3 linked regions of the Saccharomyces cerevisiae S288C genome follow. The protein of the gene in region 3 interacts with the protein of the main gene of each other region in a biochemical or structural test. Each region holds a gene or a part of one and is shown on either strand. Other genes may lie near its edges.

Region 1 (3,884 bases), on a different chromosome or scaffold from region 3:
AATCCAAGCAACCTAACTCTGCTATCAGAAAGTGTGTTAGAGTTCAATTAATCAAGAACGGTAAGAAGGTCACTGCTTTCGTTCCAAACGATGGTTGTTTGAACTTTGTCGACGAAAATGATGAAGTCTTGCTAGCAGGTTTCGGTAGAAAGGGTAAAGCTAAGGGTGATATTCCAGGTGTTAGATTCAAGGTCGTTAAGGTCTCTGGTGTCTCCTTGTTGGCTTTGTGGAAAGAAAAGAAGGAAAAGCCAAGATCATAAGCACGAAAGTTATCCTCTCGAGGACTACATTGTTTTTGTACCTTAATGTATCTCTTTATTCTTCCAGAAAGTTCCTTCTAATTTCTTATTAGGAATGGGAGAGAATCACATCAATATTTTCTCTTTAATAGAATGTATAATTCAATAGAAAAAAACAACATAATTTGCACTTTATTTTGATGCTGAGAAAAGTTTTATAGTGAATGTCTGCTTCCCTTGGGTTGAAGTTCTGTTCATATACTAAGTTGGTTAATAATGCTATATATGTAATAGATCGATCTTTATACAATTCAGTCATTGATTTAAGTAACCTGATTACGTTTTATTTTTATATTTTTTTACAATTGCAGCATCTTTCTCTAAAACCTCATTTAAATATGTTATACCGCGTTGTTGATTCGTCAGAATTTCCACTATCTTATTAATACGATCATTAGATTCTTCACCGGTGCCTTTGGACATGCTGTCTTGGTTTTTTGTATCGTCGTTGAAAACCATTAATTTACTATCTAATTGACTAGAAATGTTTTTAGCACGTTCTTTTAAGATAGCCAAACGTGCCCAAAGTTCGTTAGTCTTACCTAAACCTGCAGGATCTTCGCTCCGCTGTAGTAAAGTTTGGAATTGCGACCACATTTTCTCTTCTGCAATACCCAATGGCAGTCCTCTATTTTTCAGGGTTGCCAATTGTGTGCCCAATTTTAAGATTCTTTTTTCAATTTCAACATTCCTTGATTGTGCCTTCAAAATTCTGGACGCAGTGTCCAATTCATGCTTTTGTTGCAATTGTGTGGATTTCTCTAAAATATGGTTCAAAATTATTCTAGCTTGGGCTACATTTTCAGTCTGTACTTGATTACGTTGATTCAAACCCTCAAATCCATATATTTGAATGGGAATTGTCTGAGGGGAAGGTTTCTTTTCCATTGCCTGATCCCACTCTTCTTGAAGTACATGTCCTGGTTTTGTATATAAAATGGCTTCCGTTTCGTTCACTTTATTGTACACGAAAGCCCTGAGTTTTGTTTTCGTTGTGTTTGGATCCCACGATTCTTTACATTTCAACACCTGTTCTTGAATTTGCTGCGGATAATTAGACAGCTGCTGTTGTTGAGCAATTGCTTGCGTTTGTTGCAACGGTACTTGAATTTGCTGCTGCTGCTGCTGCTGTAAATTAGATCCAGTTGAAGGCTTAGACCAAGCAAATGATGGTTGTGTGGATACCGTGTTTCCAAGTCCGGGCGCAGTGTTTGTTTGAGGCTGCTGGGATTGGCCAAAAAGGCCACCTCCCCCAAGGGTATTGTTATTCTGGGTGCCGCTTCCAAACAGGCCACCATTAGTTGTTGATCCTTGTGGCTTACTGCCAAATAGGCCTCCCGTAGTCGCTGTAGTATTCTGAGGCTTTGCACCAAAAAGTCCGCCTGCATTCATGTTAGATGTGTTTTGAGTGCTATTGCCGCCCATCAGTGAGCCAGTGGATCCTACTTTATTACCAAATAAACCCCCACTTGTGGTACTATTGTTTTGTGCACTGTTGCCGAAAAGACCTCCCGTTGTGGTAGTTGGCTTGTTTCCAAATAACCCACCTCCAATGGTGGATTGTTGAGGTTGTGCTGTTTGTTGCCCAAATAAACCTGTTCCAGTAGCTGTAGTTCCTGAAGCGGTAGTGCTTGAACTTCCTAGGCTGCCAAGAGCAGGCTTATTACCGAAAAGGCCTCCACCTGTACTACTTTGTTGGTTACTTCCAAAAGTATTTGTGGCCTGATTTGCACCAAACCCTCCGGTAGTAGCCGTCCCAGAATTTGGCTGGCTGCCCCCAAAACCAAATCCTGAAGCCGAAGGTTGAGTATTTGTATTGTTATTGTTTTGTCCAAATGAAAAACCGGTCGAACCAGCTGGTTTATTTCCGAACCCGTTATTACTACCGCTGAAACCAAACATGTGATCAATTGGTCAACAAGGTATGTCTTTTGTTACTAACGAGCGTTTCTGGAATAGTTTGAACGGGATAATCCTCGATTTAGTCTTTCAGTCCCTTTGGCAAAAAGTTGTTTACATCGACTTGGAGAGTTGGACTTTTGCTTTTACTCATTTCAAGAAACAAAATTTTTGAAAATAATCCATTTCGCGTACGTTCAAAATGATATAATTACACATTGGCAACAATTATTTAGATTATATCACGTAGCTATTGTACTATTTTCCTATGAGAGAACTGCTGTAGCCATGTGGGATGATCATGCGGGCAAAACTAAAATACTTATATCAGTCCACAATTGAAGTATGGAAAGTTTTCTCCCAACTATGCCGTTTTTATAATGGAGACTAATGTCAAAGATAGGTTTTGCAGGCTTGATGGGTTTTCAAGACACTTTTCGGTCAAGATTTTCAGTGAGATTTGAAATTCTTGCAGAAGGTCTTGATAGTCATTGCGCAGATGATGAATATATGGTGAATTGGAATCAGCACAAGACTCCAATATTCGACGAGATGCCGTAATCAACTTATACAACTGCTCAATCAGGCCAGAGCAAATTTCTTCTTCTAATGGTTCTATACCGCACATTTCATGGAGAGATTTACTCAATCTCTTTCCAAGTGAGAGCGCTTCTGTCAATTGTGAATGGTTACGCAGAGAGCCGTAAATCTCATCTAACTTCTTTAGGTATTCCAGGACATCCTTTATAATTTCTTGTGTATTGCTGATGTCATCCTTTATCAAATGATCTAATTGAGTCATAAATTTTTGAAGATCACTTTGTGTTTTCTCTAAATTTATTAGAGTTTCATTTTCTTCATCTGTATAGGTATTGGAAAAAGTCAGATAGTCGTCGTAGTTACTTCTTATTTGTTCTAATAATGTTTGTACCATTTTTTGTGAAAGTCCAGACAAATCTCTAATAAGGGAATCGAGAGGAAGGTAATGGAAATTTTTCTGCACTAGGAATCTGTCGACATCAAAGTTATCAACATCGGTCCCATTAGTCTCGGATTCACGATACTTCTCTATTTCTGTTGCGAATAACTCTTTCGATATTTCTGCGGTTACCGGTAAATCTAAGTCTAGTTCATCATCATTCAAAAAGTCCATTTCGCCCTGAGAGAAATTGCGACTATGACTGTTGACCATTCCCTTTTCATATTATTTATTATTCTATATTTTTTCTAAGCTTCATTTTCTTGTCCTGTTGAAAATTCCATGAAATCGAGGTAAAGGCCCGAGCAATAATAATTTTAATTTAAATAAGGCACCCTCATAAAAACGGTCTTACATCCCATTATACCTAAATACGTATTTTTTGGATCTAGAGTGTTAACTATTTCACGATTACCGGTTGGTGTACTCAAATAATTAAAATGTTGAGGACTAAGAGAGCCTATATTTTCTCGAGAACATAGTCAAAAAGACTCCATGGCCAAGTTGGTTAAGGCGTGCGACTGTTAATCGCAAGATCGTGAGTTCAACCCTCACTGGGGTCGTTTTTTGCTTGAAATGAGCAACATTGGAGGAAGATTTGTGAAATCCTCCAGTTTTCTTTTTTTCCTCTAGGTTTTAACGAATGTGATAAAAGATAACTAAATAGGAGGGTCATTAAAATGCTAGGTAACGTATAAACAATGCAC
Region 2 (3,508 bases), on a different chromosome or scaffold from region 3:
TTCTCAACGCGGATGCCTCAACGGTATTGGTAATCACTGGTTTTATCAGACCATCATCATTGCCGCTCTTCTCCTCTTTGTTTGGAGAATCGTTTTCGGTTGTCTTCTCTCTATCATCCTCTACCTTGCTAATGATTCTCTTGTTTCGAAAGAAATCAAGTTCTTTCACGATCTGGCTTTCATTATTATCTTCCTTATGATTCTCATCATTTCCATTTATAACGCTGTAATCTGCTGCCTTAGCCTTTGGGCCTGACTCTTTCTTCACGGAAGCTCCTCTAGTTAATACTCTAAAAATATCCATGGTGGCTTGCCTGTTCGATAACTTCTACTATCGTATGTACCTTTTTGCAGGTAATATCTCTCAATTGAAGATGTCAATATTACTTTTTTTCCTTCCCATCTCATCGCAAAAAATTTTTCACGAAGAAAAGTTAGTTCGGCCTCTAAGACGCCATTATGGTGACTGAAAAACTGTGATTGATGTTATATTCTATTGCATTTAGTATAAATTACATTTGTACAAGACATTTGTACTTGTTATACGCACTATATAAACTTTCAGGGCGATTTACTCATATGCTCAATGATGCCAGTGTTTTCGTTTTTTGATGTAACACGGCGATTCTCTCAGCGATATCCATAAACAGTGTGAATTCCTCAATGACAGTAGAGACTATGGCAGCTAAGCCTGTCTTCAACTGCAGTAGGTTCTCTGCTTCGGATGAACCTAGATCTGCTGTGATAGCTGTAGAATTAGGGTTATTTGGGGCGCCAAATAAATCTGTATCAATGCCATTTACCGCAGTTTCTATATCAGAGAGAATACGGCAGTAATCCTCTAACTTCTTCTCGTAGAGATGAATTTTCTTTTGAAAGAATTTGTCTAAGTCATTAGAAGAAATTTTGCTTCCCGGAGTTAATAGTTGCTGTAAGAGCACCGAAAAAGTTTGCGTGTCTAGAAGGTCCTCATCGATTAGCGATTTAAATGAGGATATTTTCTTCAAATCTTGCTTTAAATATTGACTTGTTGCAGATTCTGACTTCAGTAGGTATGCAACATCACGAGGAATGGAATCTATCAATTCATCATGATCGATTGTATCGGCCTTCAAATGGTGCGAGATCTGCACTTGTTTTTGAATATATTGATCTAGTTGTTCAATTTCTTGACGTATTTGAGGTGGTAATTCGGAAATCCGTGTCATTGGGGTAATAGGGAGCTGAGATAGATTTTGCAATGCGCACTGCATTTGTGGTTGTTGCTGCAGTTGCTGCTGCTGATTACCAAATAGCCCGCCTGACGCACTCATGATGTTGTTACTATTATTGTTATTGTTGTTGTTATTTGATGAACCAAACAAAGACGTTGCTCCTGTCGGTTTGGAGCCAAATAACCCTCCACCAGTGGTCGTATTACCTGCATTATTGCCGAATAGAGATGTACCAGCTGGTTTTGCACCAAACATGCCCTGGTTCTGCGCAGGGGCCGAAGAGGTGCTTGTATTACCGAACAAAGAAGTGCCTCCTGCAGGTTTAGAGCCAAATAGTCCAGCGCTTGCATTATTCATGCCACTACTACTATTATTGATATTATTAGTGTTATTATTACCAAACAAACCACGACTCGTCTGTGCATTGTTGGAACCAAACAAACTGCCAGAATTACTGTTCGAATTAGCGCCAAATAACCCGCCCCCAGTGTTCGCCGTATTGTTAGGTTTGTTACCGAAAAGGCCCCCTCCGGTGGTGGCGCTTCCTCCAAATGCATTTGTCTGAGATTGTTGTTGCTGCTGACCAAATGATGCACCTAATCCTCCTGTAGATCCGGCTGGTTTAGCGCCAAATAGTCCACCTGTACTTGGGCCGGTGTTTTGTCCAGTTTGAGTCCCACCAAACGAAAACCCAGTATTCGCGTTTCCAGTGCTAGCTCCGCTGGCCTGACCAAAGAGCCCACCTGCAGGTGTCGAAGATGCTTTATTTAATCCAAACATTGTGCCCACTACCCGTGAAAACCCTCTCAATTACTGTTTTTATCGTCTCATCACCTGATCAGTAACTATTCTCACGATTAATGGTCTTTTTCAACTACATTTATTTGAGAAAGCTGTAATACATTCCGTGTTGAGTGATATATACAACCTCCTTTGCTCGTCTTTTCGCCACCGCAGAGCAAGTAACAACAGAGACAAACAAGAAGAGGTTAGAAAGCAATTTAAGGAGTAGTTTAACGAGTACTGAAAACGTCAAACTAAGTACTTACGACTTCCAATTACCGGTTGTAAAGTTTATCTACGCAAATATAACAGTTGCAGCTTGCTTTTTTTTTCAGCAGCTCTTCCGTTATTATAAAATCTGTTTGGCGTTCGCACAAGCGAACCGATTCTTTTATTATTTTCTCTCTGCCTTTTATTTCCGTTCCTGTTAATAGTTTATTTTCTAAAGGATACTGTCTTCTTCCGTACTTATAATCGGGTTCACAATAAGCAATTGACTAATCCTAGGACGATTCGTGTACTATAAGGAGAAAAAAAATCAACACTTGTAACAACAGCAGCAACAAATATATATCAGTACGGTATGGGTATTCCAAAATTTTTCAGGTACATCTCAGAAAGATGGCCCATGATTTTACAGCTTATTGAGGGAACACAGATTCCTGAGTTTGATAACTTATACCTGGATATGAATTCGATTTTACATAATTGTACGCATGGTAACGACGATGATGTAACCAAGCGATTAACTGAAGAAGAGGTTTTTGCAAAAATCTGTACGTATATCGATCACCTTTTTCAAACAATCAAGCCCAAGAAGATTTTCTACATGGCTATTGATGGTGTGGCCCCTCGTGCCAAGATGAATCAACAAAGAGCTCGTAGATTCAGAACCGCTATGGATGCAGAAAAAGCCTTGAAGAAGGCTATTGAGAATGGTGACGAGATTCCTAAGGGTGAGCCATTTGATTCGAATTCTATTACTCCAGGTACGGAGTTTATGGCCAAATTGACCAAAAACTTACAATATTTTATTCACGACAAGATTTCTAACGATTCCAAATGGAGGGAAGTGCAAATCATATTTTCTGGCCATGAAGTTCCAGGTGAAGGTGAACACAAGATCATGAACTTTATAAGGCATTTAAAATCCCAAAAGGATTTCAACCAGAATACGAGACATTGTATTTACGGTCTTGACGCAGATTTGATTATGCTGGGTTTGTCTACTCATGGGCCACATTTTGCGTTATTGAGAGAAGAAGTGACATTTGGTAGAAGAAATAGTGAAAAAAAATCGCTTGAACATCAAAATTTCTACTTATTACATCTTTCTTTATTAAGAGAATACATGGAGTTGGAATTCAAAGAAATTGCCGATGAAATGCAATTTGAATACAATTTTGAACGTATTTTGGATGATTTTATTCTTGTCATGTTCGTCATTGGTAATGATTTCTTGCCCAATTTGCCAGATTTGCACCTTAACAAAGGAGCATTTCCCGTTTTGT
Region 3 (5,119 bases):
ACAAAGCTGTTGTTCAAACGGTAAAGGGTTTACTGAATACGTATAAGAGGCTAGTGATCGGAATATTCAAAAGAGATCTTTTGAGGGAAAAAGAAGATAAGAAAAATTCGTCGGATCCTAATAACCAAAGTTTAAACGAAATGGTGAAGCTAATTGTGATGTTATGCACATTAACAGGATATCAAAATAACGATTAAGTCATTCATTATCACTTTTAAGAATTACTTTTAGGAATCGATTTCATTTTGCAAAATATTTGGTTGTGTACTAAGTACTAAGAAGAAACTATCACAAAAAGTGGCTTTTAGTTTCATACACTACAGAAGCCTTTCTTTGGTTCTGATTTGGTGCGTATTTACTGTCTAATGAAATAAAAATCCAGGTCGTTTACAGATCGGCACGACACATTACAAAAACTTCTTGAAAAAGGAAAAAAACAAGTATGATTGAGGTGTTAAATTAATTGCAGGTTCTGAACCATCGCGTACATTTTGATACCTATATATAATTATTTAATATAGCACATCCTATGTCAAATAAGTGTAGAATAGAGGGAATTTTTTCTTTTAGATCATTTCTTTATCGAGTTGATTTGTTTTTCCAGAGAGGTGGAGTTATCGTCTAGTGACCTTAAAGCGTCGAAATGTGAATTCAAGATTTTGATTAGTTGAATATTTTCGTCTTCATTGTTTATATCGATGTTAGTGGTTTTGTTGAATGTATTACTAACATTGTTGATTTCTACTATTAGAGAAGAAAGATTGGATGACAACGAGTTTAAATTTTCGTCCAAAGTCTGGGCTGTCTTATAGGCCTGTTGTCTTTTTTGGTCATTATTGTTGGCCGCAGCACCTGAACTTGTAGACACAACATCGGACAGAAGTGCCTCTGTCTTGGTTTCAAAATTGTCTAAGAAGTTTTCTAATTCATCCTGTTGCCTCTCGATATATTGTAGAGATTGATCTATTTTGTTTTGACTATGTTCCGCCATCACAGCATCTGAGTATAACTGACTAATTTGTTCACCTCCTTTCACTAGTACCTGATCCCAACTATTAATTTTTTTGGTATACTGTTCAAAATGAGAGGCCGATTCTGTTAGTTGGTTAGTCCATTTCGTTACTAAATCGTCCAGTGTTTTATTGTCGAGAGAAACTGGCTTCAATTCTACTGGTTTAGAATTTAATTTCAAGCTATCACTTGATTTGACATCTGCGGTTGACTTCCCCGTAGAAGATTCCTCTGTTTTCTTCTCATTATCTTTTTGAGCACCAAAAGTAAACGCTGGCTTGCTCGTATCACTGGATTTCTGTTCTTCGGGTTTAGCACCAAAGGAAATGGCAGCCTTCGCCCCATCGCCTTCCTCCTTTCCTGTAGGCTTAGAACCAAATGAAAAGGCTGATTTTGATTCATCACTTTCTTTCTTTTCGTTAGCCTTTGCTCCGAATGAGAAGGCAGGCTTGGAGACTTCATCATTCTTCTTTTCATCGGGTTTAGCACCGAATGAGAAGGCAGGCTTCGAAGAACCACTGTCCTTTTTTTCATTCGATTTAGTACCAAATGAGAAGGCAGGCTTCGAAGAATCACTGTCCTTTTTTTCATCCGATTTAGCACCAAATGAGAAGGCAGGTTTAGAGGCATCGCCATCCTTTTTCTCATCGGACTTTGCTCCAAAAGAGAATGCCGGCTTGGAAGTTTCATTGTTATTCTTTTCCGCGGGCTTGGCACCAAAGGAAAATGCTGGCTTAGCCGTTCCATCTTGCTTGTCTTCATTTGATTTGGCACCAAATGAGAAAGCTGGTTTTGAGGAATTATCATCCTTCTTTTCTTCTGGCTTAGCGCCGAATGAGAAGGCAGGCTTAGAAGTAGCACTAGCTTTATTTTCATCCGGTTTAGCGCCAAAAGAGAAGGCAGGTTTAGAGGCATCACCATCCTTTTTCTCATCAGACTTTGCTCCAAAAGAGAATGCCGGCTTGGAGGTTTCATTGTTATTCTTCTCCGCGGGCTTGGCACCAAAGGAAAATGCTGGCTTAGCCGTTCCATCTTGCTTGTCTTCATTTGATTTGGCACCAAATGAGAAAGCTGGTTTTGAGGAATTATCATCCTTCTTTTCTTCTGGCTTAGCACCGAATGAGAAGGCAGGCTTAGAAGTAGCACCAGCTTTATTTTCATCCGATTTAGCACCAAACGAAAAACTTGGGGTTGTGTTAGTTGTCTTATTGTCGGATGTTGCAGTACCAAAAGAGAGGGCTGGTTTTGCTGGTTCATTAGTTGTAGGTTCGGGTTGCGAAGCTCCAGCTGGGTTAGCACCAGCTGATCCTGAACCAAATGAAAGGGAAGGCTTTGCAGCCTCGTTAACCGTTTTGTTTCCACCTAGTTGTGAACCAAAGGAAAATCCTGTAGTGGGAGCTTGAGCGTCTGTCTTATTACCGACACTTGAATTAAAGGAGAAAGCAGGCTTGTCTGGTTCTGTTTTTTTATCGTCGTTAGTGGTTGCACCAAAGGAAAAGGCTGGCTTATTCGCATTTGCGGTAGCGCCAAATAAGTTATTACTTGTGTTAGCATTACCGGTCGAGCTAGGAGTTGTGTTATTGCCGCCGCCAAAATTCAAACCGCCGAACGCAGGTTTTGTCGTATTGCTATTAGTACTGTTATTGAATAAGGATGAAGAACCAAATGTATTTCCTCCAGCAGTTCCATTGCTCTTCGTTTGTTGAGCACTGGAAGATCCAAAAAGGGATGTCCCTGCACTATTACTACCAAATGTATTAGTCGTAGAATTGTTGCTGCCAAAAACGTTACTTGTGGGGTTACTGTTACCGAATGCAGTATTACCAGTGTTATTGCTACCAAATGCAGGTGTGATTGAAGAGTTTGCATTGTTCGTGTTATTTGGCGCAGAATTGTTGAAACCAAATGTTGATTGACCTGTTCCGAAGGCGCCCGCACCAGTAGAGGAATTCTGATTGGTGGTGTTAGAGTTATTGTTGGCAGTCCCGAACGAAAAGGGCGTTTTGTTTTGTTGAGGTGTATTGAAGTTCACTAATATTAAAAATCATGTAGTTTACAGGTTCGCAGGTTTTCGTTAGTAAATAGGAAGAAATTGTATAGGAGATAAAATTTTGATCGGAAGACAACCGTCCAATGGAAAGAAACATACTTTTTCAAAACGATCAGAGCTTATTACTGTTGGACTGTGCGTTGCAATGGCTCTCCAATAGCGTCTTCAGGTATCACAATCGACACGTCAAATATCACATCTGAGTGGTGCTAACACCATTTATTATTTTCTATAAAAGTTTGAAGAAAAAAACTCATCGGACCCGTCCGGGTTGTCTCAAGTTCTACAAAAGCATTATGCTTACATTAATAATAATAAAAAATACAAAATACTTAAAATAATCATACATGAAAGGATACGTAAATGTCTGAGGGCTCCTTATTATATTTTCGAAACCCAATACAAAAAAGAGATTAAAAAATTAAGAGAAATCCCTTATTATTTAGTACTACTGTTCCGCGCATCCTGGATTTTGTCTAGCACATCATCATAAGCAGCGTCAATGGCATTTTCCTCTGCATTGTTCATAAATTTATCAAATCCAGGCGCATCGGTCGGAGGAATATGAGCATTATCGTTCGTTCTAGAAGTATTGGAGCCTGTGGATATCGGATCAGTGGTAGGGGACGCATTAGCACTTGAATCATTGGATTGGGAGGACTGTTGTTCATCCTTTGTTCTGAACGCGGTCTCTTCTTGGTTTCCCTGTTTTTTGAAAATATGATGCAAGTGGTACCCTTGGCTATGCAGTTCATCAATGACGCCAAGGATAGTAGAGACGTCATTCTTCAACAGAAATTCCTTTATCTGGTCACTATCTAAGGATTGTGCGGCACGATTTAAGATTTCTTTGTCCACTGGCAAATCGCCACCACCGACAAGCTTTTCGTGTTCTAGTTCTCTTTTAATGATAGAGTATTTGTTTTTGATATCAACTTCATCTCGAAATTGTTGATCATTTGCTGGTACGTCTTCGTGATTTACGTTGGAGTCGTCACCTTCTCTGAATTCGACGGCATCTTCTGCATCTGGGCTTGACTTTTCGACTATTGCACTACCGAATGGCATAAGCGCAATATGATCTGAATTTTGTAATATAGATGAGCTTAGTAACATTCTTTGACAGCTTTCGGAATTGGGTTGTGCTTGATTTCCCCCTTTCCGACTTTTTGAGACGGCCTCTGGTGATTTCAAAGTGTTGTTATGTCTTTGTTTCAGCAGGTCACAGCCTCTTTCCAAACTTGCCTCTATGAAGCATAATCTAATCAAAGCTTCCTTACCTTCCAAATTTAATTGTCCATTCAGTTTTAAATCAAAAAGATCATGAACCACTTTACTAATCTTGATACGTGCCAACGCGATTTTGGCCATGAAATTCTCAACCATTTTGTTGTAATGTTCGGAATTATCCGCTTTTTCAGTTAATAAAAGTGATAGTTGGTCCTGTAGGCTTGAAAATTGGCTATCTTTGATATCTTTATCGTCACTATTAACCCTTTTCAACTCCCCTTGAATATTTCTTAAAGCATATAATGAAATTTTTTCCTTAATGTTCTCTGGCATATACACATAGTCCACGTCCAAAGTCATCAAAGATGAACTTTTCCTCACCGCCTCTGCTAGAGCTTTAGACGATGCCAAATCCAATTCCGTTCCTAACATGGAAAAATAATTCAATCTTGAACACATGGGTAATATTTCGGCCAGCATCACTACACTCGTGGAACTTAAATTATTGTAGTCGATATGCAGACGGACAAGATTAACAAAAACAGGTAAAAAATCAATCAGCGTCGGAACACAGTGGGGGAAGATGGCAGGATTGTTCGATATATCCAAGAATTTTAAATTTTCCAAATAACATAAAACGCTTATCAGTTTTAAGACCTCGTTATTCTCAAAAGTGTCGTGTTCGTTCACTCTCAAATTTGTCCCATTTAGAGATAAAAATTTGAAGACGTTTTTCTCGTTAGCTTTTTGTATTTTGCCTAAAACAGCATCGGTGAAAGAGGAAAGTTTGCCATTCAAATCGTTAAAACCAACGTCTAGACCTGTCAC

What was found. Proteins that work in one complex are often made in the same cells at the same time.
Region 1: the proteins of NSP1 (region 3) and NUP57 form a complex in vitro, tested with the Saccharomyces cerevisiae proteins (4 studies listed by BioGRID, with this or other methods).
Region 2: the proteins of NSP1 (region 3) and NUP49 form a complex in vitro, tested with the Saccharomyces cerevisiae proteins (3 studies listed by BioGRID, with this or other methods).

Annotation. Positions count from the first base shown.
Region 1 is NC_001139.9:727,471-731,354, forward strand, and holds NUP57 (FG-nucleoporin NUP57), read right to left. Parts: upstream 2,202-3,884; coding exon 576-2,201; downstream 1-575. Other genes in the region: 40S ribosomal protein uS12 RPS23A, read left to right, coding at 1-260; Golgi transport complex subunit COG2, read right to left, coding at 2,563-3,351. UniProt on the Saccharomyces cerevisiae protein: Functions as a component of the nuclear pore complex (NPC).
Region 2 is NC_001139.9:179,186-182,693, reverse strand, and holds NUP49 (FG-nucleoporin NUP49), read right to left. Parts: upstream 1,995-3,508; coding exon 576-1,994; downstream 1-575. Other genes in the region: RNA-dependent ATPase ROK1, read right to left, coding at 1-304; chromatin-binding exonuclease XRN1, read left to right, coding at 2,581-3,508. UniProt on the Saccharomyces cerevisiae protein: Functions as a component of the nuclear pore complex (NPC).
Region 3 is NC_001142.9:363,826-368,944, reverse strand, and holds NSP1 (FG-nucleoporin NSP1), read right to left. Parts: upstream 3,162-5,119; coding exon 3,161-3,161; intron 3,043-3,160; coding exon 572-3,042; downstream 1-571. Other genes in the region: NUP192 (Nup192p), read left to right, coding at 1-197; MHP1 (Mhp1p), read right to left, coding at 3,500-5,119.